Cricetulus griseus: one gene and its partner. The protein of the gene in region 2 binds, or shares a complex with, the protein of the main gene of each other region. Links are inferred from orthologs where the notes say so. Each region holds a gene or a part of one and is shown on either strand. Other genes may lie near its edges.

Region 1 (16,602 bases), on a different chromosome or scaffold from region 2:
ACCTACCCTAAACCTCTGCCTCCTGAGTGCTGGTATCGTGTGTGTGTGTGTGTGTGTGTGTGTGTGTGTGTGTGTGTGTGTTTAACGTGTACGCATGTGGGTGTGGAGGCCTGAGGCTGATGTTGGGAACCTCCAATATTCTTCCACTTAGTCCTTCGAGGCAGTCTCTCACTTAAACCCTGAGCTCACCTATATGGCTAGCCTCCCTAACTGGCTTGCTGTGGGGAGCCTCTATCTCTGTCCTCAGAGACTGGAATTACATGTGGGTGCTACCCATACCCCAGTTATGTGGGTACTGAGTTCCAGTCTTCATGCCTCTGACAAGTGCCATCCCCAGGCCTCTCTTTTTTTCAGGTCATGTGGATTCCATTTTCTTCCTCCTCATGTTCCTTTAAGATCTCTTCCTCTCCTTTCATGACTCCCTGTCTAGTCTTGTGACACACAGACACATACACTCATATAAGTATATACACGAAACTTTTCTTATTTTTTTTTTTTTTTTTTTTGAGACAGGGTTTCTCTGTGGCTTTGAAGGCTGTCCTGGAGCTAGCTCTTGTAGACCAGGCTGGTCTCGAACTCAGAGATCCGCCTGGCTCTGCCTTCCAAGTGCTGGCTTTTCTTATTTTTTAAAAGATTTTTTAAAATTATACGTATGGATGTTTTGTTTGCATGAATGTAGGTACACCACATGCATGCAGTGCCTGAAGATACCAAAAGTGGTTGTAAGATCCCCTAGAACAGGAGTTACAGTTGTGAGCTACCCTGTGGGTCCTGAGAAACAAACCTGGATCCTCTTCAAGAGCAACCAGTGCTCTTAACTGTTGAGCAGTCTCTCCAGATTCCACATATATACATTTAAATCTGGATTCTGTGTATAAGAGATAACACGCAATGTTTGCTTTTGAGTCTGGCTTTGTTTTTAAGCATTTTATGTATTTATTTTGTGTGCATACAAACATATGGAAGTCAGAGGCCAACTTCCAGGAATCACCTCTCTTCTTCTACCATGTGGGATCCAGGGACAGAACTCAGTTGTCTGGCTTGTTGGCAAGTCCCTTTACTCGCTGAGCCCTATTGCTGGCCAGAGTCTGTCTTATTTCATTTAACATGATTATCCTGAGGCACATGCCTCAGGCAAATTTTTACCTGTTTTTTTCTGTTTTTTAGAAGACCCCTTGATGTAACTCAGAGCTTCTTGCTTGCTCAGCTTGTAGTCCACCACAGAGCCTGCCCACTCTGTTTCTTATGCCTTCTTTTGCCAATGATCTCTGTACTGGGTGGGTGGGTGGGTGTGATGTATATTTGTGCCCATCCTTTCATGTATCTGCTCCTCCTACTTCATGGCACACTCTGAGACACTCTGAGTGTACCTATGAGGCCGGGCAGTCACCACGAGAGATTAGCCTCAAACCTCTGTGATTCCACATAGCTGCCTGAGGTTTGCTCTCCAGATGGACACAGTTCCTGTTTCCACTGCAGGTCTTGGGGTTCTACTCCACATGGTCATACAGGAACCCAGAGGTGGGTGGCAGACGCAGGATAGCCAGCCATTGCAACCTCCAGGAGGTGGGTGTGAAGAGAACATGTTTGGGGCAAGGGCTGGAACTCACAGTTCAGATGCAAGCATGTACAGGCTCATGAGGCCCTGGATTCCATCTCCAGTCCAGACAACATCAAAACACAGGTTGCCAGGCATGGTGGTGCATAGAGGCAGAGGCAAGAGGATCTCAGTGAATTTGAGGACAGCCAGGGCTGACACAGAGAGGCCCTGCCTCAGAAAATAAATAAACAAATAAACAGGTAAATAAACAAATAAATAACATTAAAGTAAACCTTTTTTTTTTTTAAGTTTGAATCCAGACATGGTGTCTCAGGTAATCCCAGTGTGGGAAAATGAGGCAGGAGGATTACAGTCAGTTCTAGGATACACAGCAAGTTCCAGGTCAACTTGGGTTACATAGTGAAACCCTATCTCAATTTCCATCCTACTCCAAAAAAAAGGTATCTTTTTACTACTGGTTTCTCCTGCTGGGCATCAAACACAGCTCATGTACACTGTCTGCAGACCCTGTCCTTTGGTTCATGCTTTCTTCCGTGGGAGCCCTGGGTGGGGGGTGGGGGTGGGGGCAAGTAAGCAAGCATGAAGTAGTAGAAGCTGGGAGGAAGGAAAGGAGAGAAGGAGGGAGGGAAGGAGGAAGGGAGGGAGGGAGGGAGGGAGGGAGAGAGGGAGGGAATGATACAAAATTGCCTGGTGGCACACAGCTGTAGTCCCAACACTGAGAAGGCTGAGACAGGGTCTCAATACATATCTCTGGCTCTCCCAGGGCCACATAATGAGACCCTGCCTCAGAAAAAACGACAATAGACACAAGCCAAGGAGTATGAGCATACACAACAGGAATGCTTGACAATGATGAAATCTCTTGAAACAAATGGAAATGTGAGAAACCTCTGTGAAGAAATGGTCATAAAACAAAACACCAAGATGCTGGGCAGTGGTGGAGCCCCCTTTACTCCCAGCACTCCCAGCACTTGGGAGGCAGGAGCGGGTGGATCTCTGTGAGTTTGAGGTCAGCCTGATCTACTGAGATAGCTCCAGAATAGCTGGGACAACACAGAGAAACTCTATTTTGAAAAATCAGAAATAAACAAAAGCACCAAGTGGAAGGTGCAGCAGACCCAACAGACAATGCCTGTCACTGCCACCAAGTCCCTATCACATAGCCTTCACTGCAGGGGAGGGGAGCCCAAGTCTGAGCAAGAAAAAAACATAAACTCAGTTTCCCTAATGTCTGTGTACAATGCAGATCCCTTTCATGGTCTCTCACTTCCACCAGGTGACTGCAGCAGGGACAACCCCCCACACACACATCAGTTCTGCCACATCTGCCCAGGGCAGCAGCAGCAGATTTTGCTGGTGAAACACCCCACCCCCAACTCAGCACTCCTACTAGGCTTTGGCCCCACCTAATACAAGTTTGATGTCCAACCATGACCCCTCTTCCTTGATTTCCACTAATTTGGTCTACCAACCAACAGACTGTGTGTTTTATTATGATTTTTTAAAGACAGGGTCTCAATTCGTGTGTATCTCTGACGATCCTGGAACTCACTATGTAGATCAGGTTAGCTGCAAACTCACAGACCTCTGCTTGCATCTGCTTCCCAAGGGCTAGGACTAGAGGCGTGCACCACCTGTGCTCAGAGAAGTGCAGATACAGGGAGTCAGGGTGTAGAGAAGGTTCCGTGCTTCCCAGACCTCCCAGATACTGCCTGAGCTACAAATTCAGAAACTTCCAGAAGTTTCTCTGAGCCAGGTGCTAAAGGTTGGTACGGAGACCTCATAGAATACGCATGATGGATCAGCTCAGCCACCTTGGTATTTGTGATCAGGTCAACATCAGTCCCTGGCCTCCCTTATTCAGGGAGGATAAGGCTCCTCCAGGCTTGGAGGGTGAGGGATTCCAGCTCAGGAAGGCCATTAGCAAACCAAAAGAAACATCTTGTTACCGGGATATCAGAAGCTGTCTGGCAGGAAATGGGGCCCAGGATTAAATACGTAGCTCAGCAGTGTCACAGCCAGGGGCAGTTCCATCTCTGGCTCCTATTCCCCCTTTCTCCTTTCTGGTCCTTGGAAGATTTTTCTAGAGTCAGTTTGTAATCTAGAAGAGGTAAATCAGAGCTGGGTGGTGACTGCACGGCTTAGAGAGGCTAAAAGTCTGAGTCCTTTGTTTCCCATGGGGAGGCCACTCACCTCTGCTTCTTTCTGAGTTCCTAGGGGGCAACTAATGGCAAAGACCTCAGAGCTGCCCCATCAGAGCCACCCTGCTCCTGCCCCTCCTCCAGAAGTCAGAATTGACTCTAACAGCCATTGTTGTTGAGCCCACCAGCTGAATGCACATGGCCGCACTGCCCTCTCCCTGTCACCCTGTCCTGCTTCCTTAATCCATTTGACAAGAGCACCAGCATCACGCTTGCTTTCCCAGCCTAGCTGCTGGGGGGCAGTGAATATCTGGCCCTCTGGTAAAGCCCTGGTTCCTAGATGGCAGAAGAATTTGACAAAAAGTTTAAGCAAGCTTTGACTTTCCCAGTGAGGTAGACAAGACAGGCATCAGGACCTGGGCAAAATGCCAGTTTCCCTCTGCCCTTCATATTGAACATAAAGAATCTGATTCTTGTGACATCCTCACTTTCCAAGACATTTTTTTTCTTTTTTTTGGTAACTGAGTACAGTGGCACATGCCTCTAATCCCAGCACTAGGGAGGCAAAGGCAGGTAGATTTGTGAGATAGAGGCCAGCTTGGACTACTTAGCAAGTTCCAGGACAACCAGAGCTGTATAATGGAGAAACCTTGTCTCATAAAGACCAAAAAATAAAAAGGGGGATGGTAACTTTTCAACAAGCCTCTCCCCACCCCACCAAACAGTGTATCCCCAAATAACAAAAGCCGACGGTGGGGCTGTCTGGCTTAAGCTATTGTGTCCTCCTGGTCTGATCTGTTGGTTGGGTATGAGGGGTCTGAGAGGCCAGAAATGGAGCCACCCATTGCCAACAAAGGCATGATGTCCCCTGTCTAGGATAGGGCGGTCGCCCCTCCCGTAGCTCTTTTCTGCCTCATTTGCATCCCACTCGAAACAGAATAATTTTTGATACAAACCAACTCCTTTTTAATGTAGAAAACAAATATCATGTACATAAATATGATCTGGGGCATAAATAAAGTTAAGAAAATAAGAGACATATACAAAATAAATTACTTATAAATATCACACTGCCAAGTAAGTGCTGCAGAAAGGACTCCACATCTCCCCTGCAGTCACTGAAAAATTTAGGGTTTCCTAATCTTGTTGTTCATTTGCAAATGAGGGGTGCAGGTTGATACAGGCAGCGGGGGAACATACTGATCCACATAATGCTTGATGAATAGGGACAAGAGTCAGGAGCTGGGGGCAAGAGGGCACAGGTAGATGGCCCATGAGCTCTATGCTCTGGGGTTGGAGAGCCTAGGGTGAGCTCTGAGAAGGGGTGTGACCTGGGCAGATCTGGAGGCTCATGACCAAGACAAGCTGCTGAGATACAAGTGGCAGTTTAGTTACCCACTCAGCTGAGAAGTCCACTCTTGTGCCTAGATGTCCATTTGACATCTAGAGGTGGGGGAAAGGGGAATTAAGTGGTCAGCTGGAACTTTTAATCCCAAAACCATCCTGCAAGGCTCCCAAGGTTTTCCTGGCTGCCCTTTGCTCCAAGTTTGTGATCGCCCCATCAGTTTTAGCCAGGAGGCAACTGGGGGCAAGTAGAGACCCCACGAGGTTCACTCAGTCAACACATAGTTCAGAGCCCACCCCCTGCACATGAATTTTAAATGACTTCACATCTTCTGGCTGGCCTAGAGATCGAGAAACATTTCATAGGAATGACTTCCCCGTTAGCGGAGGTATTCAAACAGAACTGGAGTAACCTGACCACAGATCAGCAGCTGCCTAAGTCAGTAGGGCTCAGATGTCAGCTAGGCAGGTGATCAGTTTAGGTTCACGATCCAGTCTAGCCACTAAAACCACACATGGTCAATATAAGACTTAAAATATGTACAGCTTCTAGCGCATCTTCCTAAAGGGGAAGTTCATGGGACACTGGGGTGTTCTTCATCCTGTCAGAACCCCATCACTTCTGGAAGCTGGGGCTCTTTATCTCCAAGTCCTCCGTTATCCTGAAAGGATCCATGCTGTCCGAAGCCAGCGACAGAGGCAACACTTTCGACTCCAGCTGGTCTCTGGGTTCCAAGAACCGGGCAAATATGGGGAGAAAGAGTGAGGGTTTTTTGTTCAGGAGATCTTGCCTGTATTTGTTCCTGAAGAGGACGACATAGAGGTGGTGATTCGGAGATTCGTACTTGTTGTAAGTTATATACTCCCATTTCTCATTGAAGGTACAGTCTTTCGGCGAGTAATGAGTCTTTGGAGAAAGAAACAAGCATATATGAGCATAAGCACTGTGGTGGTGTCCTGTCCCCACAGCCATCATAAGTGTTCTTTCCTTGAAGTACATGGAAAGCCAAGCATGGTGATGCTTACCTCTCATCCCATGGCTTGGGAGGCAGAGGCAAGAGATCAGGAATTCAAGGCCAACCCGTGTTGCATGAGACTGTCCCTGTTAGCTCACCCCACAAGTATTCTAGCACTTTCTCTTTAGACAGTCTTACTACATGTAGCCCTGGCTGGCCTGGAACTCATAATGTAGACCAGGTTGGCCTTGAACTCAAAGATTCACCTGCCTCTGCCTCCTGAGTATGGGATTAAAAGCATCCCAACTATGTCAGGCCTGGGTTTTCATTTTGAAACAGTCTCAAGTACCCTATGCTGACCTTGAACTCCTGATTCTCCTGCCTTCACTTCCCAAGTGTTGGGATGACGAGTGAGCACCACGGTGCTGGGATTATGCAGTGCTCAGTTGAACCCAGAGCTTTGAGCATGCTAGGCAACCACCTCACCAGCTGAGCTCCATTCCCCAGCTCTGGTATGTTTTTGAAACAAGGTCTCACTCACTCTGTAGCCTTGACTTCACAGCAATCCTGCCTCAGTTTCCAGAGGGTTGGGCTGGTAGGTGTTTACCAATTATCTATCCCAGCCTTTGGCAGAGAAATCCCCAAGCAGCTACTGGCAGGGTGCAAGTCTCCCTGGCTTTTAACTAGTGACATTAAATTCTGATGGTTATTTCTCAGCTTTCTGAACTCTGCCCCCTGTTTAGGCAGTTTTTGGGTAGTAACTGCAGCCTTGCCTGGGGCAGGGAATAAAGCGAGAGTTCCTGTCTAGACCTGAAGCACTAGCTTTTCTAATGCTGAGGTGGTTGCGTGTCTCTTATTATTGTGAGTAGAGAAGCCCCCTCACAGGCAGCTTGCCAGGATCTGCCTGATAATCCGCAGCCCTTCCCCCACGCCCAGGACCAAGCCCCGACCCTGTGGGTGGCCGGAAATGTTTGCTGCAGGAAGCTGTCCCTGGTCCCCATCCTCTTAATACCAGAACATTCCTAGTCCCCAGGACTGAGGTACCAGTGGCAGTCTCCCAAACTGGTGCCACATCCCTTTGGGAAGCCTGGATGGTTCGGTAAACACAAGCCGCCTGCTGAGGTCGCTGAGCTGCAGGTGGAAGAGCGATGGCAGATAAGGCTCTGATAACAGGCTAATTCCAAGAACCCACAGCTCCTGCCCTGGCTGATGGCACGGGATAGCCACCAGGCAGTAAGGGCCATGTTCCCTGAAAAATGTTAAGTGTAGATAAACACAGGATGTATTTCTCTTGGAGAATTCTTAGGGAGAATTGATCAGCCTTTCTTCATATAGGAATGATAGATTGTGGGGCTTCTATTTAAAAAAAAAAAAAAGTCAGGGAGAAGTTGTGATGGAACCATGCCCAATAGATAAGGGGCGGCACTGGAATTGAGGGGCAAAGCTCCCATGGGCATTCCCACCCCATTTAGATTAGGGTAGACGGGGGATCGAACCTTTCTCCTAGTGCCCTAGCCACAAATAAATATCTCAGGAGGACAGTGTGGTGGGAGATTTGTTCAGGGCTGGGGTATCAGTTTTCAGACAGGCAGTGGAACCCCTTCTTTGTAAACCGGCTTCTCTGCATACCCCTTTCTTTCTTTGTGATCTTTTCATGTAGCTAAATCCATCTCAAAGCCACAAAACAATTTTGAGACTCTTAAAGACAAAACAAAACAAAAATTTTGAGCCGGGTAGCCATCGTTCCCCATAGGGGACCTCCTAACCCCAGTCCCTGCTCCTCCCAGGAGCCCAGGGCTGTATGGGAGGCCTTGGCCAACAGACCTCACACGGCCTCCTCTTGTACTGCCAAAGGGAGGGCTGAAGGCTTCTTTGGACTCGCAGCTTTTGCTCCCACAGAGCCCTGGCCTTTGTATTTCCAGCCTCCCGGGTTTCAGGGGTTACCTTGACCTGACCAGCCCTCCCTAGCCCCATTGCCCTAGCTCCCAAGCAGGTGAGCCCCTTAAGGACATTCTAAAATATCCTAGTCCCTACATCACACCGTGTTCCTAGGACTTAGAAATTGACTAAAAGACACTTCCTTTCTTCTTTTTTTCTTTCATTTGAGGGAGAGAAAGGAAATCGAGGACCACACACGCAAAGGCTGGAGATGAAAATGGCAGAGGTGTGTTTTCCTGTTCAATATCAAAGGGGCCGAAAGCTGAATGGTACTCAGCAGCCAGCCGAGCCAGCCTTCCCGAGGATTAGACATGCTCCGCTGGGCTCGTCATTCCCGCCTACAGCCTGGGGCCATCGCTTTCCGAAGGGGGGTGGGCGGCGGCGGCTGTGGTAACATTAGTTTCACTAGCACTAGCTACCTTGCTCTCTTAAGTTCCCTGTAGGCCTGAGCAGGGGGTGTAAAGACCCAACACAGACCCAGCGCAGCTCCGAGCATCCCGCCTCGTGGGGAATACTCACCAGCCCCTGTATCTTGCCGTCCGCGCTCATGCAGAGGTACCGCACGCTGCTGACGTCCTTGATGACAATCGTCTTCACAGCGACCGCGCGGAACTCTAGCAAACCTGCGAACAAGAGAAGGAAGGAGATGCAGCTGAGACCCAGCAACACGTGGGTACGGCAGAACTACACTGTTCGCCCCTCCCCAGACCCAGTCTGAGAGTCCAGGGGATTTGTTAAGGCCACGGTAGCACGCACGCGAGCGTAAGGGACCCGAGGGGACGCGCTGGCAGACACTCACTTCGTTCGTTTTGTTCATCCTCGCAATCCACGGAGCCGTCGCTTCGGATATGCACGAAACAGTTGGAGATGTGGGGACCAGCAACGTACAGGTACTGCAGGCGGGTGCTCTTGCCCCAGCCGTAGAGAAAGAGTGGGTTTGCATTGGGCAGAGTCAGGGATCGCCGAACCAGAGGACGGCCAGCCACTGCCAGCCACAAAGTGGCCAGGACCAGGGCTCGGGCCATGGCACGCCCGTTCTGCGTTCTCCACATGGCACCTCCGGAGGGGTCGTGAGGCGCGGTTACAAAGGTGGCACGGAGACTGCGATGCAGCGGAGACGCGAATAGCAGGCAGAGTGTCTGCGGCCAACAAGGCAGCGGGCACTTGCAGCACGGTGCGCGCAGCACTGCTGCTCCGACGGTTCTATGGCTCCGGGCACGCCGCCTTATATACGTTTCGGGTAGGTGACCGTGGCATCAGAGCTTTTCTCCTCCTAATTGCATCAAGTCTCCGCCCCCTGCACACACCCTCTCAGGCCCAGCCCAGTGACCCCGCCCAGACCGGCCAGATCTACAGGAGGAGGAGCCCCCCACTCCCCTTCGCGATCGCGTCCCGGGGAGTAAGTGTTCAATGTGTATCAGCCTGGTGGTAATTGAATAGCCGGTTTTAATTTTACTATTAATTACTGAGGTCCCCGGCCCTGGGCTCTCAGAGGGATGCGCTTTGAACGGTCACTAGAGACTGCAAGGCACGCAGAGCTCTGCCTCCTTGGCCCCCAATTTGAGTCTCGGGTCCTCTCCCTTAGCTTTTCCTCGAAGATCCGACTCTCACACGTTCTCCTAGCCCCAGAACTAGGCCTCCTTTTCTTGGGTATTTGCCCTTGACAGTGGAGACGTCGTGGGAGCACTCGCGCGCACTAGGTGGCGCTTCAGCCCCAGTTTCGGCCTCCACAGCGCAGCGAGGGGCGCTCTGAGCGGACGTCCTCTGCCTGCCTTGTGGTCTCCACAAGGCTACCGTCACTGGGGCTGCGACTTTCGAGGAGGGTGGGCTGACCAACATGCAGAGGCAGGACAGGCCGCGGGTCTCCTCTTGTGCCTGTGATCAGGCCCCGGAGTCTGCGCGCGAGGGACAGCTGCCTACCGATGAGGAGGGGGCCTGCTAGGAGCAACGGTGGACTCTGCTGGCGGCACGTCAGGTGGGAGGAGAATAGGGGCCTCTCCATGAGCCTCTCTTGCAAAGAAAGGAGGCAGCCTGCAGAGAATTCCCCGGCCTTGAAGAAAGGGTCCTCGCAGGGGTCTTTGGCTCAGTCTTATCCTTTCTCATTATACCTTCAATTCCCCAACTCCTGGGTGTGGGGCCCCCGGGAGGCTGGTTTGGGGAAAGAGGTAGTGGCCTCGTTCAGTAGTGATGGGAGGTCCGTCTGCAGGGGCGGGACAGCAGAGAGATGGCAGGTCTGATGAATCTCAATGAGGAACACAACACATTCAGACGCCATCAGTGACTGGCGTTAATGACGGAGCGCTGGGAGAATGTCACCAGGAAAGCCTTTACAAAAATACATCATCGAAAGGTCTCTGGACCGGGGACTCCCATGCTGTGAGGCTTGGTTTAGAGAGCGGTGCCTCCTGTAAAATCTAATTACTTCCCCCTTGTGATTCTCAATCGACAGCGCAGACTATTAATCTTAATTGCCTTCTCCTGCGGCTTTCGTTTTAATGTCCGTGATAAATGTGGGGTACCGGGGAGGTTGGCGAGGCTTCACTGAGGAGTCCCCCCAAATTGGGCTGGAGGGTGGAATACGATTGGTAGTACCCCATTCCATTAGGCTCCCTTCTCAGAGACATCCGGAAGAGGTGGAGATGTTGGTAATGGAGTGTTCTGAGAAATGTCTGTAGGGTCCCCAGGGAACCCCATAAGAACATTCTGCCCCGTGCTGGGTTTTACTCCCATCTCTGAACAGGTGGAAAACGAGGCTCTGAAAAGTGTCAGGGTGCTGCACATCCATGAGAAGTGAAGATAGAACCTTGTGTGTGACAGGCAGGGTGGCCTGTCTCGGGGCTTGGGGGGATGGTGGCAGCAGATCCACAGCGGGCTACATGATGAACTCTGGGCCAGTCGCATCAGCCTGCTTCTGGGCTTGTCTTGTGGAGTGTATGGAAGAATGGGCATAGAGAACTCAGACCTTTTTTTTTTCATATATCAACAAGAGCTTGGGTTGTTCATGCAAAAGAATGAGAGTCGGTTATAACTGGCCTTCCTTAGTTCAGCAATGATTTGGAAGTAAAGGGTGAGTCCTGAATGAAACAGGCTTAAGGAGAATGAGGGGGTGTGCCCTGGCGATCCGGGTAACCACTCATAGATTTTGGCGGGTACCACCGGGAGAAAAAAAAAAGAGAAAGGGGGGAAAAGAGCTTTTGCCAGCAGGGGGCGCTGATGCCACCTTACAGACTCCTCTCCAGGTGAGAGAGGAGGGGGTGCCTGCCTTCTGTAGCTTTTGGGCTTGCAGATCTAGTTCCCGGACTTTCCAGTACCCTGTGTGGTGCTAAGACTGTGTTTCTAGATTGACATCTCACGGAGTCAGTGAGCAGGACTTCTGTGACCTCTGCTGTTTTCTCAGGGTCCACACAGATGCCCAGACGGCCAGAAGGGCTTAGCTTGGGGGTCCGTTGATTGAAAGAGAAAAAAAAAATAGTATTACTTATTCTTTGAAAGTTCCTTACTATTTTTTAAAATTATGTGTATGTGTGTCTGTCTGTCTGTGTGTGGGCATGTGCCAATAAGTGCAGATGCCCAGAAAGTGGGTGCTGGGCAGAGAATTCAGGCCCTCTGAAAAGTAGTACTCGTTCTTAGCCACTGAGCCACCCCTCCAGCCCCAGATCCATACAGTTGTGTTCATCATGTCCATCTACCACTATCCTCCCTTCAACTCCCTCTAGAACCCACCACAAAATCTCCCTCCCAGCTTAGTGCCCACTTTTTATTTATTTATTCATCTACTTATTTACTGTTGTTGTTTTGAGACAGGGCCTCTCTATGTAGTCCTGGCTATCCCAAAAATCACTATGAAGCCTAGGCTGGCATTCATCAAGGCAATCCTCCTGCCTCGGCTTATCATGTGCTGGGTTGACAGCCCTGAGTTGTCACAGCTGGCTTTATTATTTCTTTTAAAATTCAGTGTCAAACTTTGGAAAAGATGAGACAAAAGGCCAGTTCACAGTCAAAGGGGAAGACTGACCACCAATAGGGAAGAGGGTGATTGTAGGTCACTAGAATGTTCCGTATCATGAATGTGGGGCTAATATTTGTTTATACTCTCAAAGTTAGCTGGGTGGTGGTGGTGCACACCTTTAATCCCAGCACTGGGAAAGAAGAGACAGGTGTATCTCTGTGAGTTCCAGGCCACCCTGGTCTACAGAGCGAGTTCCAGGACAGCCAGGGGTATACAGAGAAACCCTGTCTTGAAAAAACAAAAGCAAAACAAAAACAAACAACCCCCCCCCAGAAAACCAAGCAAACAAAAAACCTCTTGGAATTGTGTTTTGAGGGGCTCACAAGATGACTTAGCAGATAAAGGTGCTTGCCCGGAAACCTGAATTCACTCCCCAGGATCCACAAGGTGAAACAAGAGAACTGACTACCAGGAGTTGTCTTCCAATATTCACTTATGCACCATGGCATGGGCCCTTGTGTGCTGTGCGTGCGAGTGTGCACGTGCACACCAGCACACACACACACACACACACACACACACACACACACACACGTAAATACCTATGCCCTTCAAATCAGGGTAGAGGGTGGAAATTGTGGTGTAGTTTCTAAATTTTACAGAGTGGGCTACATCTGAATTTTAAAGGTGTGTTGAGACACACTACAAAGAGTATGCCCAGTCAACTGTGTTCCAGGTGTGGCCAAAATGTTCCTATGCTTATCTCATCGTAGAAGTAGGTGTCACCTGGTGTTTCCAGGACTCTTTTCAGTTTGGAAAAAGAAACTTGTCAGAGGGTACATTTTATTTTAAATCATACCTTCAAAAATCTAAAGGGAGGAGCCGGGTGTTGGTGGTGCACGCCTTTAATCCCAGCCCTCGGGAGGCAGAGGCAGCGGATCTCTGTGAATTCCGAGACCAGCCTGGTCTACAAGAGCTAGTTCCAGGACAGCCTCCAAAGCCACAGAGAAACCCTGTTTCGAAACCCCCCGCCCCCCCCAAAAAAAAAATCTAAAGGGAGGATGACCCCCTGGGTGTCTTGGGACTGGCCCTTGACCCAGCTTCCCCATCCAGGAAATGCAAGAAGCCACTGTGCAGACGTTGTCTGCCCCTAGACTACAGGAGGCTGGGCTCACAGAGCAGGCAGACAGGCCCATCACAGGCTAATCTGACTGATCTGAGCTGGTGTAGGGACTCACAACACCTGCCAGCTATCCCTGGATTCACCACTAAGGGCTCCCATCACCACTGAGTTGTGATCAAGTGGGCTTCGTTCATGCTGGTCTGATTCCTGGCTTTCCATCAGGGTAGGACAGGGTGTGAGCAAATGCCCAGCTCAGGTTGTGCAGGGTACAAGTGGGGAGGTGAAATGAGGATCCAGTAGCCAGATGGACAAAGAAAGGGCTCCTCTGCTCCTTCTGTCGCTCCCTTTAGGCTGCATTTCTCTGGACTAGGCTGGCTGTCAATCATTTAGCTGGGGAGGAAGTACAGTCCTAGCCACAGCTGGGAGGCTGCTTCCTGAGGTTCAGTGCCCGGGTTGCCAGTGACCTGGGGCCTGTGTGGCTCTAACTTAATACAGTTCAGTCTCCAGTTCTGCCGGCAGAACTCTTGCTGGTGATGCTCCCAGGAGCCCAGCAGGATGGGTGGAGTCACTAGGGTAGAGTGCATCCCTGGGCAGAGCAAGCTCTCTATTTTCAGTGCCTGATTCCCACGCATTCTGTTTGTTTTAAGGATCTTTCTGGATGCTTCCTCATCAGACACTAAGAGTTACAGTCTCTGTCCTTCTTGAACTGGGGCCTGGTGACTTTGAGTGTGTTTATGCGACATCTCCAGGGATGCAGTGCTGTTCTGGCTCCTGCTCTGGGTTTGCTGTAACTATGACCACAGACACACTTGGTAGTATCTCAAGACCTCCAGAAGCCTCCAGAGTTCATACTAATGACCCTCCTGAAGGGCAGCATGATGTTTTTCCTATTCCAGAAGTTCCTGCCCAGCAATGATCAGCATCTGTGAGAAGGGCCTCAGCCATTTTAGGACATTGGTCACCTGGCAGCCCTTCTGGGGTGGCTGTTGATGCTTGGGGATGATTTCCCCATACTGGCCAGTTAGCAAGCAGCAGGGCTGGAATCCAAACACAAGGCCATTGTCTCTATGGACCCCTTCAAGAGTGGGGGACAAATGACCACTGACTAACAATGACTTTTACAGATATTGACCCCTCGTCGCACCCAAGACTGGAAGCCAGAGATCAAGACATGAGGCAGAACCAGGTGTGGGGTGCATGCCTTTCATCCCAACGACTCAAGATTGGCAAGGGACCAATCAGAAGTTAGCTGGTGGTGCTATGCTTTACGGAAAAGTGCACAGCAATGACGCACAGAGCATAGCAACCACCCTGGGAGGGCCTATGGGCCATAACAACCAGTTGACCAATCAAAACAGGGAAAACCCTCCACCAATCCTGAGCCTGTATGTACCCCTAGACACTCCCCTTACGCTGCCCTATGAGATCTTTATGCGGCCGCTTGGAGCTGTCTTTTCTAGCCATCCCCCATCGTGGATGGGTGAAAGGCCGGATCTAACATGGGGTTAGCTCGTTAAACAACTATAATAAAGCCTCATGCAGTTTGCATTAAGCTTTCGCCTCCGCCTGGTGATTGGGGTGGCCTCGGTCCTGAGCTGAGATCCTGGAGGCCTGAGCTTTTGGGGGTCTTATAGTAGGAGGACCAGGAGTTCAGCATCATCCTTGGCTGTATAAAGAGTTCAAGGCCAGCCTGGGTTACAGGAGACCTTGTATCAAACAAACAAAACAAACAAACAAACAAATAATAAATGGTGTGGGGGCTGGAGAGATGCTCAGCAGTTAAGAGCACTGGCTGTTCTTTCAGAAGATCTGGGTTTGATTCCCAACACCCACATGACCACTTGCAACTGTCTGTAATTTTAGTTCCAGGGGTCCGATAGGTACATATACCGCCAAAACATTCATACATGTAAAGTAAAATAAGTATAAATCATATATATATATATATATATATATATATATATATATATTTAAAATAAAAAATGGATCCGAGCAGGCTTACCTGTTTCCAGGCACCGAGGCCTTGGCCTTCATCTCCAAGTGGTTTCTGTCAGTTTGCTTTCTTCCCAGATCTCCCTGTGTTACTATTGGCTATATGTGTTTGATTTTAGCCCCACCCAGCAAGGATGCTGCCTCTCTCTCTCTCTCTCTCTCTCTCTCTCTCTCTCTCTCTCTCTCCTCCTCTCTCTCCCTCCCTCCTCCCTCTCCTCTCTCTCTCTCTCTCTCTCTCTCTCTCTCTCTCTCTCTCTCTCTCTGTGTGTGTGTGTGTGTGTGTGTGTGTGTGTGTGTGTTGTTTTTGAGACAAGGTCTCACTGTGTACTTCTGGCTGGCTTCAAACTCACAGAGATCCACCTGCCTCTGTTTCCCAAGTGCTGTGATTAAAGGCACATGCCACCTCACCCAGCTTATTTGAAGTTGTTTATTTCACTCCCTGCAGAAAGGTCCTTTGTATGTGGACATTCACTTACGGGCGCTGGAAGAACCTGGGGACCACTACTCAGCCTGGCATAAGCACAGTGTTCCTCCTCACCTTCCAGGTGCTTTTCTCATTGCCTTGAGGAAGAAGTGGTAGGCAGTGGGTCCCAGAGTGTGGCCCCTCAGAGTTGACTCTCAGAGGGAGCCAACAGGCCCTAGGAGGCTGGACTCTGAGAGTCACTCTATGAAGGACCTTCACTGAGTGACTACTGTCATGGCTCCCTGACCCTGACCCCTTGTTGCCTGACCCTGGCTGTCTCCAGCACATTACAACACCTCAACTGTGATGGGATCCTTGGCTTTCCGTAGCAGGAGAGACCTGTAGGGAAGTGAAGCAGAGTTTCCCCAACTCTCCCTCCCCCTGAAGAAATTCACCAGAGGCAAACAAGACTGTGAGTCTCTCACAGGAAGCAGAGACTCCAGCTCCCATCTTCCACAAAGCACAGGCTTCCTCCCGAGATTCACTTGTGAAACCTCTTGCAACTGAGCACGAAGGAGTGTCCCTTCATGGTTGAAACAGCTGGAGCTGAAGGGCAAGGCTTTCTTTCCTTCGGCTGGCCTGGTTCACATAAGAGGGTTGGTGGTTGACACAGTGGAGACCATAGCATGGCTGCCCATTTCCAGGACCTCCATTATCCTCATTCCCACCTCCTGTGTTAAGGGTCCATCTCTAGTTCCCACCAGGACCAATATGGGACCCAACAAAAACCTGTGAGCCTCACTCATCTGGAAAGAGAATTGCCCAGAACTACAGGCCCTGGCAGGGGTAAGGTGGTGCCTTGCTCTCCAGACTCAGGGCTGAGTACAAGGTTTTCAGGTGCTCACACCCAAAAACAGAAATGGCCATAACATGTCTCAAAAAATGTTTAAATGTGCAAAGATATTCACTGGAGCCCAGTTCAGAGTAGATGGCAAACCTCTTTCTGCAAAGGGCTCTGCTATGGGATGAGCATTTTGGCTCTGAGGGGATGAAGGTCTACAGCTATACTGGGGGACCAGGGGGGTTGGATCGTTCTTGTCTCGTTTCCCATCTTCACATTCCCCAGAGTGAACAGACTGCTCTCCTCGTCACAGCCCAGAAGCTGTGAAACCTACAAATGATATTTTCAAAGTGA
Region 2 (16,025 bases):
GGTAACAGAAAAGAACTGGCCACTGTCCGGACCATCTGCAGTCATGTTCAGAACATGATCAAGGGAGTCACACTGGTAAGACAGCCAGTCAGGCTGCTTTTTAGCCCTTTGGAAGCGGTTTCTTGAGTGTATCTTGTATGTGCAAACGTCTAGTACCCGACAGTTTTGTTGTTTTTTTTTTTATTTGTGGGAAAGGAACATACCACGGATCGAGCCTAGGAATTTGCTCTCAAACCATGCTTTGAGAATATTTTTTCTTAATAAATATAATCTGCTGTAGTATAAATTTGATTGTTGATTGGTATGGATAGAAAAGGTCTGATCTCTAAATGTCTGATGTCATCAGTTGGGCATCCTTTTTGATAAGTTAATTCTGAAGTGGTTTTTACCCTGTGCATTAAAAAGTTATGTAACTTTTGGCTCACCCTTCCTGTTGCTCCCATGGTTTCTTTTTATTTTGCTTGGTGATGAGAAGTTTATGGTCGGGTGTGCCTGGTAGCTCAGTAAATCTAGTGCCAAGGATGAGGGTCTTGGGCTCACTGAAAGAAGCAAGCCAGGCTAAGACAGTAAAACAAGCAAATGCTTCCTCCAGGGTTGTTACTGCCTAAAAAGGCAGTTGTTTCTTTGAAGTGAATATTAGCTGTGTGAGACTTGTTGCAGGTCACGGGGGTGAGGGGGGGGCAGGTACGGTGTGCTGAGATCAGGCTCTGGTGGCAAACAACTGTTATCCTAGGGTCCACTGAAGGAGTCTCAGATTGTGGGCCAGCCTGAACTGAAAATGTTTTGAGATTGTTCAATATTTATTTCCTGCAGGGCTTCCGCTACAAGATGAGGTCTGTGTATGCTCACTTCCCCATCAACGTTGTTATTCAGGAGAACGGGTCTTTGGTTGAAATCCGAAATTTCTTGGGTGAAAAATACATCCGCAGGGTTCGGATGAGAACAGGTATGTGTGTTACTTTCAGGAATGATTGGCTGCTACAGTTCATTTTCCTGGAGTCTTAGAGTACTGGTGTTTATGGTGAAGGTTATTTCAGAACTGTGTTTTGGTAATTCCGCTAGCTTGAGATTGATGCCATTTTGTGTGTGTGCTGGGAATTGAATCTATCAGATCTGTAATCACATACAGTATGTTCAGAAGTCCAGCCCTAAAGTTGATGGGTTGTGTGGAGTTTTAAATGAAATTGTATTTTTGTACAGATCTCATGTTAATGCTATTGAATACACACCCTTTTCAGGTGTTGCTTGTTCTGTTTCTCAAGCCCAAAAGGATGAATTAATCCTTGAAGGAAATGATATTGAACTTGTTTCAAATTCAGGTATGTATGCATGTCTTGATTCTGAGAGGTCAAACATTGTTCCAAATTTGTGCTGTATATACTATACTTTGTATCATGAATACACGTTGGAGTATATGCAGTTCTAAGTGATGGGTAGCATGTGGCTGGCTTTGTTGGGAACTGTTTTTGTGTTTATATTAGGGTATGTATGTAGCTGTGCTCAGTTGAGAACTAAGGGCAGTGAAGGGGTCTCCTTACATCCTGTAGGCTCCAGGGATTGGGCTCCAGATGTTAGTTAAGCTTGTGGACGTGTTTGGCTAGTGAAATAATGGCTTTATTTGCTTCTTCCTATATAGCGGCTCTGATTCAGCAAGCCACAACAGTTAAAAACAAAGATATCAGGAAGTTTTTGGATGGTATCTATGTGTCTGAAAAGGGAACAGTGCAGCAGGCTGATGAGTAAGACCTAAGGTAGGTTCGTGTATCTGCAGTTGACTACTTTAGATGGCGTTTGTTATACTAAAAATTATTAAATCAGTACTTGCCTGTATAGTGTATCATAGGTGAATTTGTTTTACTCTATATAATTACAATATAGGTGAACTTAACTTTCTGGGCAGGAATATTAATAAAAGTTTACATGTATTTTGTTTTTACAGTTAACCAGTTCCAGAAACAAGATCCTGAATTAAGTACGATTTGGTGTGTCTTTTGGGACAATAAAGACTTGTATTGATTTGGTGTGTCTTTTCTGATTGATTACTTAGCAGATAGGTCAACTGCTACTCCAAGGAGCACAACAGGTTTTTTTCCTTCCTGTAAACAAGTGACTTAAAAGAATAACAAGAGATTTCAAGAACAGGAGTGTAGTACCAATGACAGGCAATCGTCCCCGTGCGGGTTCAATTGGCGTGGTACTTTGGGATGAACCTAGAGGTGTTGTGACTTTGGCACAGTCATCATAATGACTATTTGGTGTGCAGATTGTCTCAGTGGGGACTAAAAAATGTAAATGTAAAATCATGGTCATTCTGTTCTCAATATTATCATGGTTGTAGTTCTACCTCTGAAGAGGTTGATGTGGGGGGGATCAGGTTGGGGCTCAGTAGATTATGAATGAAACAATGAACTTGGGGTTACTTTGGAACACTGGGGGTGGTAGGGTTGCAGGCTTTGAATATAATGTTCTAGACTTAATAGTAATCTGTATTTTGTGTGAATTCCCTATCCGCCTGGTGGTGAAGAGTGAACCCAGCAAACACTGAGGATTGTCCCCAGACCTTTAGTTTCTTTGACAAGTTTGCTCTATTACGGCTTCAAACTCATAATCCTCATTCCTCCACCTATTGGGTGCTAGCATGGCAGGCAAGTACCAACACAGCTAGTTTTTTATTCTTCATGTGTGCACATGTACGTGCAATTGCTGTCTTTGTCTATTACCTTTTCACTTTGTGTTTAAGGTAGTGTTTGTCTTCCCCAGTGCTAGGGTACAGGTAATGCCCAATTGAACTATGCTTGTGTGTGAGAGAGAGAATATATTCATTCATGTTTCCAGAGGTGTCAGTTCCCCTGGAGCTACATTATTCTGTAGGCCCTAGTCAGTGTTTTGAGATAGGGAACTCTTGGCTGTGGTTGTCTCAAACTCAGAGATCACTTTAATCCCAAGTGTTGGGATTAAAGGTGTGCAGCATCATGTCTAACTATCACAAAGGCCAGGTTATAGCTCAGCTGGCTAAGTGTTTTCCCCCTATTGAAGCCCCTGCATATATATATATATATGTGGTGTGTGCCGGTCTGTGATCCTAACCTTACAGGGGTGGAAACAGGCTAAGAGCTTCAAAACCAGTTTCAGCTACTTATGAACTAACTATTCACCTCCAGCCAGATTGTTGAATATAAATGATTGGCATCAACCACATTGGTATAGCACTGAAGGGTAAAACATTTAGGCACGGTACTCTCCTCATTTCCCAGACAAACACCAGTTAAGACAATGAATTTGTAAAATGATACATCGTTTTTTGCAGCTACTCCATTGGGTTAAGAATGTTCTCAGTATTAGCGTTGCTAGGCAAGTACAAAGTCCCACTGAGCCATATCCCTAACCTGTGTTTGGAGACTTAAATTTAGTATCACTAGAACGTGACCTAATTTTTATATGATCATTTAAAATGGGTGACTGCACACATAATCCCATGACCCTCAAGTGTGGCAGCATTAGGCTACGAACTATACATTTGGTGAACTTGGCAAGTTTGGGAAGGAGGAAGGAAGGAAATGTTTTATTTGGGTGTGTGGTGGTACATCCCTGTGACTTGTGCAGTGGAGTTGAGGCAGGAGGATGAAGACTCTTGGAGGTTATCCTGAGGTAATGTTTAAGGTCAGCTTGGACAGCATGAGACCTGTCAAAAAACAGTAGTGATGTTAACGGAGTTGGAAACCATGCTGAGGCAGGAGGATCACTGCCAGTTTGAGGCCAACTTAAATATAATGAAACCCAGTCAAACAAAAAACCTTAAGTGTTATTGAATTGAGGGTTGATTCCAAGTTCTTTGTTTCTCCTATTGCTTGCATATTTTTTGAGGTTACAGATAAGACAGGGTTTCTCTGAAATCTCCCCAGCTGTCCTGGAAACTACTTTGTAGACCAGGGTGGCCTCAAATGGTGATCCAACTGCCTCTGCCTCCTGAGTGCTGGGATTAAAAGTGTGTGCCACCAGTGTCCAGCTGTTACAAATTTTAGATGCAGGGAATGAGGTGATAAAAGTTAAAAAAAAAAAAAAAAAACTTACCAAAGTTTTTCTGGAGTGAATTCAAACTTGTGTGACTTAAACCCAAGTAGGGCTGTAGAGAAATCTCAGTTAAGAGCACTGTGGCTCTTACAGAGGAGTTGGGTTATTCCCAGCACATATATGGGGCTCATAACCATTTTAACTCCAGTTGTATGAGATCTAGTGTATTCTGATTTCCAAAGATACCAGGTGCACATCCATACATGTATGCAGGCAAAATACTCAATTCTAGAAGTGTTTTACTTTTTTTTTTTTTTTTTAGTGATACATAGCTTTTCTATGTGGCTAACAATACAATTGTCCAGCCAACTACAATGGGTGTCATTAAGCATAGTTCTCAAAGAGATTCTTTGCAAAACCTACTTAAAAACTACTAAGTGGACAGGCAGGGGAAGTTCAAGGTCAGACTGGTCTGTATAGTGAACTCCAGGCCAGCCAGGGCTATGCAGTGAGACCCTGTCTCAAAAAAACCCGGTCTTAAGAACTAAATTTTTGATAGACAACTCTGTTTATAAGCATTTGCTGTTCTTACAGAGGACCCAGGTTTGGCTTCCATCACCCATATGTTGGTTCATATCCATCTCTGATGCCTCTTCTGGCTTCCAAGGACACCAGGCAAACAAGTGGTGCATACATGCATGCAGGCAAAACATCCGTACACAAGAAACCTAAGACAGGCAGGGTGGTGGTTGTGGGAACCAGAAGCAGAAAAGCAGAAATCTGTTATTTAACTAGTCCAATAGCAGTTTTATTTCTCATGGCTTTTGCACGTGCTGTCTCTATGATTTTTGAAAATTAGTGATTATAAGAATCATAATTTTGGGGGTTGGAGAGATGGCTCAGAGGTTAAGAGCACTGATTGCTCTTCTATAGGTTCAATTCCCAGCAACCACATGGTAGCTCACAACCATCCGTTATGAGATCTGGTGCCCTCTTCTGGTGTGCAGATATATATGGAAGCACAATGTTACATAATAAATAAAAAAAAAAGAATCATAATTTTGCTTTGGGAGGTAGTGGCACACACCTTTAAACCCAGCACTTTTAGGAGGCAGAGGCAGGTGGGTCTCTTGAGTTTGAGGCCAGCCTGGTCTACAGAGTGAGTTCCAGGACAGTCAGGGACAAATAACAATAGGTAGATCTGATGTACAATTAAAAATCATGGTACATTTTAGGATGGCTTATTACTAAGGCTCTTTGTGAAAGAGCTACTTTTCTTTGAATCCCAAGCATAAATTCTGGAGAGGGTTTGCAGTTACTGGGTAACGTGGCTATTTACATGTTTACTTGAAAGAATGGATGTGAATGGGTACACATTCAAGTTATCCCTAGTGTTTGTGATCAAATCAAGCATGGTTTCTTAAATATAAAATATCCAAATTGAAATTTACTTAGTGCTAGCCTTAAAAAGCAAAATTAAATTAGGTCATTCAAATTGACATGCTGGATTCATCAGAATCATGGTGCATGAGACAGTTAGGAAGCTCTAGGGAACAAAGCAGGAATCTATGAATAATGGTAAAGTCTTTGACCTTTACCTATTGTAAAATCTACATCTTTTTAACTTTCCTGAGTGTGACAGATCTTCTCACCTTGAAATCAGGGGAATAGATGTGATGCCAGTTTATTTTAAAATGGAAATCGCCGTGCTGTAAGGGTTAATGGACCTGATCTTGACAAGACACTTGGGTCTAGTTGTCCATCCTGTGATCATTCCATGACATGAGTTATGAAAGCTACTTTTAAAATCAGAAGTCCAAGCTGGGTGTGGCGGGCACTTCCCTCCTTTAGTCCCAGCACTCAAGAGGCAGATGGATCTAAAGTTCAAGGGCATCCTTGTCTACAGAGTGAGTTCCAGGATTGTGAGAAATACACAGAAATACCCTGTCTTGAACCTTCCTCCTTCCCCACCAATCAGAAGTCCAGTAAGAGAGAGCTCACAAAATTGAATGTTTAGGAAATGCCTTGTAGCCAGGCGTTGGTGGCGCACGCCTTTAATCCCAGCACTTGGGAGGCAAAGGTAGGTGAATCTCTGTGAGTTTAAGGCCATGCTAGGCTCCAAAGCTACACAGAGAAACCCTGTCTTGAAAAACCAAAAAAAAAAAAAAAAAAAAGAAAAAGAAAAAGAAAAAAAAAAGAAACGCCTTGTGTTTTGTTGAGAAAAGCTAGGATTAGTGTGTTTTAGATCCTGTGTTTTTAACTGCCTATGGACAAGCATGATCTAAAGTCTTGTTATATATTTTACATTCCTAATGACCTCCTGACCTAAACAGAAGAGCACCTTGTTAGAAGTGACAGCATATGTGACTACTGTCCAGTTTAAAGGATAGTTTTAGCTGGGTGTGGTGGTGTACACATTAATCCCAGTACTCAGAAGGCTGAAGCAGGTGGGATCTTAGAGTTCCAGGACAGCCAGAGTGACATAATAGACCCTGTCTCAAAAATAACAACAAAATAGTTTTAAACTATGAAATCTAAACCAACAGAATTTCACTTTTAAAGATGAATTCCTTTACTACGAATTGCTATTTACAGAAGAGAGCTAGAGTAAAATGACGTGAAACAGCACTTCACACTTCCTGAAGCCATGTCCCCAGAATTACTGACAGGATGAAGCCTTCAGCTCTAAGAACTGAATTAATTCACTGATTGTCAATACCTAAGGGAATGATTTGAACCACTGCAAAGGCATTGATTGTCATCGCCTTGGTTGCAGATGTCTCTCACATTATAAGTTACCAGTATATGGAACTGGAGTGAACCTTTAAACTATGACATAAATGATAGTTTAGCTAAGAACTCTACTGTGGCCTTCCTTCAATGGTATATTTTCTAAGTTCTTTGATTTATGAAATCTTCTCTTTCGATGATGAAAAATGGTGATTGACAGCAGTACAGCCAGAGTGGAGATGAAGCAACAACCAAAGAAGATCAGAGATTTCTTCTGAGTGAAAAATGAGCAGATGGTGCAGTCTGTGTCTTCTGGAGGCTGACCACATGCGGGATTGCTAGTCTCAGAGGGGAAGCCACTTCTGCTGATCAACTTGCTATAAAACTCTACAGATGACTTAGCTTTGAAGTCAGATGTGAAAAATCCAAATCTAGGCTTAGATTTCTCTTCAGTCAGTTTGAATGCATAATAGCCTTTGATTTTGACTTTGTCAATGAGGTATGCTAAGAAAAAAAAAACAGAAAAGAACATCGGTGATCACAAATGGACAGGAAACTATCTTTGAAAAGAATTTAGTTTTTGCCAGGCAGTGTCACACGCCTTTATTCCCAGCACTCTGGAAGCAGAGGCAGGTGGATCTCTGTGAATTCAAGGCCAGCCTGGTCTACAGAGCAAGTTCCAGGATAGCCCCCAAAGCTACAGAGAAACTATTTCAAAAAAAAAAAAAAAAGAATTTATCTTTCAGAGCTAATTGTGCTTTTCTTGGGAAGTGAGATTTCAGGTGTTATTTAGGAAAAAATGTTTTCCAAGTTTTCTGTAATGAGTTTATGCCACTTTATAAAAGTTCAGATGTGGTGGTTTAGGCTTGTAATCCTACCACTTGGAAGGCTGAGGCAGAAAGATAGGGATCAGCCTAGTGTTGGAGGCCATCCTGGGTGATTAGATAGACCCTGTCTAAAAAAACAACAAAAAACACATTAATGAATACCGGGAGATAGTGGCGCATGCCTTTAATTCGAGCACTCAGTAGGTAGAAGCAGGTGAATCTCTTGAGTTCAAGGCCAGCCTGATCTACATAGTGGGTTCAAAGACTCAGGACTAAAGAGACTCTGTCTCTCAAAAAAACATAGTTTTTTTGTTTTTTTTTTTTGTTTTTTGTTTTCATAAGGAGGAGATCCAACGGATAGGAGGCGGTCAGGAGCCACAGATCTGAGTTGCCGGTGATCTTCGTGCCCAGCTTTTCATTGCTGTCAGTTCCATATACCTCCCCCACCTCACTGTGTGAGCTCCCCAAACCTCACCTTTCAGAGCCTCCTGGATGTACTTCTCCAAGTAGTACTTTCGGATCCCATCATTCTCCAGAGCCAGATCATCGATGCCATTGGCTGTGATGTAGATGTCCATGTCCCCATAGTTCCTCTGGATCCACCCAAGCAGCTTGCGTGCTCCCCAGGGCATAACAGCCAGGCGGCTGGGCGAGCTCAGGCGGGTGATGTCCTGCAGGAACTGGACGTCCCTGTCTGCCATAGAGCGGCTGCTGTTGAGCTGTTTGTGTATCACGAACCTAGTAGTGAAGTGGTTCAGTGCGTAGAAGTCGATGGTGCCCTTCACCAGCCTGCTCTCCTCTGGGGTGAAGCGCGGCAGGACTGAGCGGGACAGCCCTTGCTGGTTCTTGGAGGCGATGTACTCCTTCATGGCCAGTGGATAGTCGCCAGTCTTGAAGAGCGGATCAGCGAACCAGGCGATCTCAAACAGGAGGAAGCGCTCCGCTGCCTTCCAGTGTGAGTCCACATAGGGGTTGGCAGGTTCCACCCAGTCAGAATGTAGGGACAGCGACACAGCTCCATGCTGGACTGGCCTATACTGCCTGTCGTAGAGACGCCAGACCTGGGCATGGGCAATCATCAGGTTATGGGCTGCACGGTAGGTGTCATTACTCGTGCGGTTGTACATGTCACTCAGCCTATTAGGCTCATTGATGGTGATCCAGAGCTTCACCAAGTCCCCTAGTTCCTGGAAGCACAGTCCTGCGTAGTCCTGGAAGGCCTTGGCGGTGTAAGTGTTTAGCCATCCCCCACTGTTAAGAAGCGGCTCAGGGAGGCCTAGATGGGAGTGGGTGGGGTGGTACAACGTCACCATGGGAGAGACGCCCAGCTTCAGTCCTTCGCTCACCACACACCTATAGTACCTTAGTACTTGTCTATTAACTTCAGACAGATTGCCAGTGGGAAGGATGGTGGCCCAGTCCAGAGCAAACTGGTAGTGGGTGACTTTCATTTTGGCCAACATCTCAACTCGTTTTTTGATGCTAACATAGTCTGTGCAGTGGGATGGTTTTGTTTTTAGCCTTACTCCTTCTACTCGCTGTAGCAATCTGTTGCCAGTGGCATTCCACACATACAGGTGAGGGTCGGTAAACTGTGGGGAGGAAACCATAAACTCCGGCTGTGGGAAACAAGAGCATTCAGGTAAATCAAGTGTGGCTCCTAGCATATCCAAGCCCCTCAGATCAGAAGAATTGAGCCTCACGAAGCCTCTCACTACAAGATAAAAAACTTTGTCCTTCATAATGGGCTCTGTGTTCTGGCTGTTCTGTTAGCAATATGGGAGAAAGGGCCTTATCCTAGTCCTTGAAATCTCCAGGGAGACCAGGAAACACAGGGAAGGAAGCACACAGGGGAGAGGAAGAACAGCTGTTTGAGAAAAGCCTAAGAGGCTATTTTCCAGTTCATTTGACCTACAAATCCAGGTTATATGGCATCTTCTGTGACGGTGTTCAAATGCATCAGGAAATTGGCTTGGTGCCCTCAGTCAAAGGCAGTTATGAAAGATGGATTCTAAGTCCTGTCATAAGTTGATGTCAAAGGTAAAATTGAAGTTGTAAAGGAGTCGCTGAGAGCAGCACTTGCATTCAGAGGAGGCTGGTTAAGCCAGACCATTCCTGAAAGATGTGCTCTTGCTTGTGCTGGCCACAGCTCTCAGCAATTCTTGTTTGAAAAGTTCAGGTGATAGCCCACAGTGGTGGTCATGTCTATAATCCCAGTTCTCAAGTGGCTGAAGCAGGAGGATTACTACCAGTTGGAGACCAGCCTATATAGCAGAGACTACAAGATAAAATAAATAACTTTGTCTTTCATAATGGTTTCTGTGTTCTGGATATTCTGTTCATAATATGGGAGAAAGAGCCTTATCCTTCTAGCCCTTAAATTTTTTTTTAAGGAAGAAAGGTACAAGGATGTCCCATTTTCACACAGCACTCACTCAACAGCAGAGTATGGAACATTGCCCTATGCAAAGCACTTCAGTAATGAGGGGGGAAGACAATGAAATAACCTCAGATCTCCCTGCCTTTCCACCTGGAGAGTCATGAGTCATGGACTTTTCTGTCTTACTTTTCCTGTGTGTGTGTGTGTGTGTGTGTGTGTGTGTGTGTGTGTGGTGTGTGTGTGTGTGTGTGTGTTGGGGGAGGGGTGGCTCATACAGCCCAGGGCCAGCCTTAAACCTAGTAAGTACCAGCCAGGTGGTGGTGTTCCATGCCTTTAATCCAGCACTCGGGAGGCAGAGGCAGAGGCAGAGGCAGAGGCAGAGGCAGAGGAAGGTGGATCTCTGTGAGTTCGAGACAAGCTGGTCTACAAGAGCTAGTTCCAGAACAGCCTCCAAAAACCTAGTAAGTACCTGAGGATGACCTGGAGCTCCTACTTCTCTTTTCTCCACTTCCCAAGTGCTGGGCATACAGCCATATGCCACCACAGCTAGCCAATGTGATGCTACAGATCAAACCCAGAGACCTGTTCATGCTAGAGAGGCACTGTGACAACTTAGTTATACCCTCAGCCCGGAATTTTCCTCTTTGAGCTTGGGCTGCACAATCATATGGGGATGGTCCTGTGTCACCCACTTCCCAGGTGCACTGTGAGGTCTAGATAGATGCCCTGGGAAGGAGGAGTCTCAACTGGAAACCATCGTACAAAGATAAGGTGACTTGGGTTTAGTTCCAGGACAACCAGGGCTACACAAAGAAACCCTGCTCAAAAAACTAATAAAATAAAACAAAAGATGTAAGAAAAAAATTTCAAATTCAAGATTAATTAGAGCAAGGAAAAATTCTTGTGTTAAATTACCTTCCCCCTGTGGCTGAATTTAAATAACCCAGGAAAATTGATAATTAACCCTTGGCAAATATTTTCCTTCTAATTGTTTTCTCATGTGTCATCCTTCATAGTCTAATTACAAAGCCATATGATTGCCCACTTGCCATCTGCCAACCAGTTATCTAGAACATTAAACTGAGAGAGCTTTGGTCACGTGAGAGTGACATTCAATCTGTGTATAATGAATTACCTGAGCAGTCTTCCCAGACCAGGCCAGCTCCCATGTTCTGAAAAGTTCAGAACATCCCAGTATTGTTAAAGAGATGTTTATAAAAGGTCATCTTGCCACAAAACAAGGCAAGATCAAACAAAATGCATTGCACTTTACAGACCCCCAGGAAACGCTAGCTGTAGACAATGCATGTGGTTATCTGCTGAGAGACCACATAAAGATGATGCATGGAGAAGAGTGCCAGTAGGAGGGTAGGACATGTAATGTGGAGGCGAACATGACCAAAGTGCATTTTGTGTACATGTGAAGAGGTGATATTGAAACACATTAGTTCATATAATTAACATATGCCAATAAAAACCAGGGGATTCAGGCTAGGAAGATGGCTCAGTGGATGAAGCCTAGAAACCTGAGTTCAAGCCCTCGTACCCATATGAAGATAGAGGAAAAGCTGTAACTCCACAAATTTGTCCTCTAACCTCCACAGGCGCCACAATACGAACTGTGGTGGTTTGAAAGCAAATGATCCCCAAAAGGAGTAGCCCTATTAAGAGTGTGGCCTTGTTGGAGGAAGTGTGTCACTGTGAGGTCAGGCTTTGAGGTCTTTTTCTTTCTTTTCTTTTTTTCTTTTGGTTTTTCCAGACAGGGTTTCTCTGTGGCTTTGGAGGCTGTCCTAGTACTAGCTCTTATAGACCAGGCTGGTCTGGAACTCACAGAGATCTGCCTGCCTCTGCCTCCCAAGTGCTGGGATTAAAGGCATGTGCCACCACTGCCCAGCTTGAGGTCTTTTTCTCAAGCTTCACTCAATGTGACCTTCCTGTTGCCTGCAAGTTGTAGTACTTTCAGCTCCAGCACCAAGTTTGCCTGCATGCTGCCACGCTCCCTGTCATGATGATAATGAACTGAACCTCTGAAACTGTAAGTGAGCCCCTCAATTAAATGTTTTCTTTATAAGAGTTGCTGTGGTCATAGTGTCATAACAATGAAAACCTTAAGTAAGACATGCACCATATTACATATACAATTATATGTAATAAAGTTTTTAAAAATCGCAGCTCAGGGTTGGAGAGAGAGAGAGAGAGAGAGAAAGAGAGAGAGAGAGAGAGAGAGAACACTGACTAGTATTCTAGTATTTCAGAGCATCTACATGGATGTTCATAATTATCTGCATCTCCAGTCCTAGAAGATTCAGTGCCTCTTCTGGCCTCTATGGGTACCAGGCACACAGACATATATGCAAGCAAAACATCCAAACACATAACATTTGTGGAAACATACTGTACACCCTCTCCCCTAGCGTGTGGTTTATTTAGAAGTTGTCACTCACCTTAAGAACAGACTCGGTGACCCCCCAGGAGAAGTCACAGGGAAACTGACCCTGCATGTCTGGCGTGGACTCTTTCAAAGGGAAACCATTTTCTTGTATGATCTGTTTGTAGTAATGTGCCGAGGTCTTGGGTTTCCTTTCTTTCTGTTCACTATTAAAGTCCACATAAAACAGTCCTCGGCGAGACGTGTAGGCATACTGCCATTCAAAGCCATCCAGGAGAGACCAGGCCGTGTAACCAAACACTCGTATTTCATCAAACTGTATTGCTGCATGAAGAAAAGGTAGCAGGGATGTTCAGAGGGCTAAACATTATAGTTCATGTTTACAGCTACATTAACAATATGCCAAGGCGTGGCACATTACAAAAGGAGCATTTTCTCTAAATATCAGGCCTTTTAAATCAAACCAAAAAAATTGTTGGTTTGGGGCCAGAAAAATGGCTGTTAGTAAAGGTACCTGCTACAAAGCTTGACAACTTAAGTCGAAGCCCTGCATGGTGGGGGGAGAGAACTAAGTAAGTCCTGAAGGTTGTTCTCTGATTTCCACCTGCACCTCCCCACACAAAATAAACACTTCCCACACAAGTGAATGACAGGTAAAGAATCATATTAAAAACATTCCTGACAATTAAAATTTTTAACCATGTTGTTTAGCAGGATATAACGGTACATGCCTTTAATCTCAACACTCAAGAAGCAGAGGTGGGCAGATCTGTGAGTCCACGGTTAACTTGGTCTACATATTGAGTTACAGGTCACCCAGCTACATAGTAAGACCCTGTCTCATTTTTTTTTCTTGGTTTTTTCAAGACAGGGTTTCTCTGTGGCTTTGGAGGCTGTCCTAGAACTAGCTCTTGTAGACCAGGCTGGTCTCGAACTCACAGAGATCTGCCTGCCTCTGCCTCCCAAGTGCTGGGATTAAAGGCATGTGCCACCAACACCCGACCCCTGTCTCATATTTTTACAAAAAGGGGGTATGTTATTTTGTGTGCAAATCTGTGTCCTGGGGCATTGGGGCATGGTGGCTTCAGAGCCTTTGGGGATGTGGATGTTTACTAGTGACCTAGAGTTTCTCATTCCGAGTTTGGGCCGGTTCCTGCTTGTGCACAACTGTCCATTCTGTGAAATTGTCCTTCAGGAACTGAAATACCAGCTCTCAGGAAGAGCATAAGAGAATGTAGACAGGAGGCTTGGAAAGCAGAGTAGTAGTGTGAGAAGTGGCTGAGCTGAAGGGCAGCAGGCCCAAAGCCAGGTCCTGCTGTGTGGCCAGGAGGGAGCCATTGGGCAAGTTTTGGAACGGCAATTTCCTCATTTGCAAACAGAAAATAGTGGAAAAGATAAGGACCTTTGTAGCTTTAAAACTCTGAATGGGTAAAAATGAGATAAGGAGCCTTTAATTCCATCATGCAGGAGGCACAGGCAGGTGGATCTCTATGAGTTCAAGGCCAGCCTGGTCTATAAATAAAAACTGAAATTAGCCCCGAATCATTTTTATAATTTTTAAATTATTTTTGCTATATTTCACCTGTAGTAGTGTTTTTGCCTGCATAACTATCTGTTAGCTACCTATGTGTGTGTATCCCACGGATGCCAGAATAGGGCACCGAATCCTCTGGAATAGAGTTAAAACAGTTGTGAGCTGCCATGTGGGTGCTGGGAATTGAACCCAGGATCCTTTGTAAGAGCAGCCTCTGAGCCATCTCCTCAACCCCCCTTCAATCATTTTTTCTAAAAACAAAACAAAACCACCCCCCCAAATGAACCTTTCATTTATCACAGAAATGCCTCATTTCTGCATTCTGGGGCCTTATTGTTGACATTATTTTTTTCTAAAAGGTAGGAAATCCCTTTTTGAAAGAAAATAGAAAACCATGACAAATGATTCCAAAAAGACAAATGTATTTCAACAAGCCACAGCTCTGGCCCCATGGTGGTGTGGCGTTATTGAGGGAGGGTAGAATAGACACCCCTTCTGCCCAAGTGCATGGCACTTGAATCAGGGTGCCTGTAGGTAGTGTCCTATGAAGCCCGCCATGTTCATGTGGCCCCGGGCTGGGTGTGGCTGTGTTCCATGCTGTTCTTTCTTGCACAGTGGGGCAGTGAGACCAGGAGGAACTTGCTCTTTTTTATTCCTCCTCTTTTTTTTTTTTTTTTTAAAAAAGACTTGTTTATTTATTTTACATATATCAGTGTTCTATTTGCATGTACACCTTTATGCCAGAAGAGGGCATCAGATCCCACTATTGATGGTTGTGAGCCACCGTGGTTGCTGGGAATTGAACTCAGGTCCTCTGGAAGAACAGCCAGTATTCTTAACCATTCAGCCATCTCTCCAGCCCTAGGCCTTGCTCTTCCTGATAACCCTTCCTGAAGCCTCTTTCCTGCAGGAGCTGGGATTTCTCTCCATACTTAGGACTTCTGTTTTGTTTTGCTTTTGTTTTTTGAGACAGGGTTTCTCTGTGTCTGTGGAGGCTGTCCTGGAACGAGCTCTTGTAGACCAGGCTGGTCTCGAACTCACAGAGATCCACCTGCCTCTGCCTTCCGAGTGCTAGGATTAAAGGCATGCACCACCAATGCCTGGCCAGGACTTTTTTTTTTTAAAGATTTTATTTATTTATTATGTACACAACATTCTGCTTCCATGTATATCTGCACACCGGAAGAGGGCACCAGGTCTCATAACGGATGGTTGTGAGCCACCATGTAGGTTGCTGGGAATTGAACTCAGGACCTCTAGAAGAGCAGCCACTGCTCTTAACCTCTGAGCCATCTCTCCAGCCCCCAGGACTTATTTTTTAAGCTATACTTTATTTATGTCTTGTGGTGGGAGACAGGAGTGGGGGTGGGGAAGCGGGGGGGGGTAGGGTGGGGGATTAGGGGTGGTCAAGTGCGAGTGTGGTGCATGTGTGTGGGTGAATGCATGCTTTAGTGCATGTGTGAGGACAGCTTGTTGAAGTCACTTCTCTCTTTACACCATATGAGTCCCAGTATTGAACTCAGGTCTACCTTGGTGGGCAAGTCCCTTTGCTGACTGAGTCACCTCACCAGTCCTGCACCCAGATGTTTATGTGGGTACAGGGGTTCAAATTCAGGTCCTCCTGTTTGCATAGCAGGTACTTTGCCCACTTAGCTGTCCCTAGCTCTGATACTTAAGACTTCAAAAGAGAGCTGTGAAGCTGGAGAAAGAGCCACAGGAAGTATATTCTGGTAGAATGGAGCCCGAACGGGGACACAACTTGAGTTCTTTGGCCTCATCATTTCCATTGGCCTGTAAGGTGACACTGCCTGAGTAGTGAATGAGGTGACATTTAGGTAGGAAAAAATCTCCAAGAGAGGAGAAATGACCCAGCTTTGTTTTTTAGAGCTTTCATTGTTAAAATATGTCAACTTAAAAGGATCTTGCCGATAAAAGCAGATAAAAGCAATCTGGCCAGATTGCTCAGTGGTTAAGAGCACTGACTGCTCTTCCAGAGGACCTGGGTTCAAATCCCAGCACCCACATGACAGTTTAAAATTCTCTGTAACTCTGGTTTTAAGGAATCCAAAACTTTCACACCAATGCATATAAAATAAAGTTAGATAAAAGGATCTGATTTCAGGCCAGGTATAGTATTCCATGCCTTTAATCCCA

What was found.
Region 1: the proteins of Klb (region 2) and Fgf19 are in contact, whole or in part, in a crystal structure (PDB 6NFJ), measured with the Homo sapiens proteins. The link is inferred for Cricetulus griseus from reciprocal best matches to the Homo sapiens genes KLB and FGF19. Residues at the interface, in NP_783864.1 of Homo sapiens: Phe379, Lys380, Val392, Leu394, Trp419, Phe420, Thr421, Asp422, Val425, Thr431, Tyr434, Met435, Asn438, Tyr643, Glu693, Arg696, His743, Asn824, Phe826, Met832, Gln848, Phe849, Leu850, Gln851, Ile853, Leu862, Phe931, Phe942; in NP_005108.1 of Homo sapiens: Leu192, Thr194, Asp195, Ser196, Met197, Pro199, Phe200, Leu202, Val203, Thr204, Ser211, Pro212, Ser213.

What each region holds. Positions count from the first base shown.
Region 1 is NC_048596.1:56,434,867-56,451,468, forward strand, and holds Fgf19 (fibroblast growth factor 19), read right to left. Parts: upstream 8,993-16,602; coding exon 8,740-8,992; intron 8,564-8,739; coding exon 8,460-8,563; intron 5,954-8,459; coding exon 5,663-5,953; downstream 1-5,662. UniProt on the Homo sapiens protein: Involved in the suppression of bile acid biosynthesis through down-regulation of CYP7A1 expression, following positive regulation of the JNK and ERK1/2 cascades. Stimulates glucose uptake in adipocytes. Activity requires the presence of KLB and FGFR4.
Region 2 is NW_023276807.1:132,409,879-132,425,903, reverse strand, and holds the end of Klb (beta-klotho), read right to left. Parts: intron 12,662-16,025; coding exon 12,393-12,661; intron 9,188-12,392; coding exon 8,044-9,187; intron 7,246-8,043; coding exon 6,860-7,245; downstream 1-6,859. Other genes in the region: Rpl9 (60S ribosomal protein L9), read left to right, coding at 1-75, 814-946, 1,239-1,319, 1,637-1,743.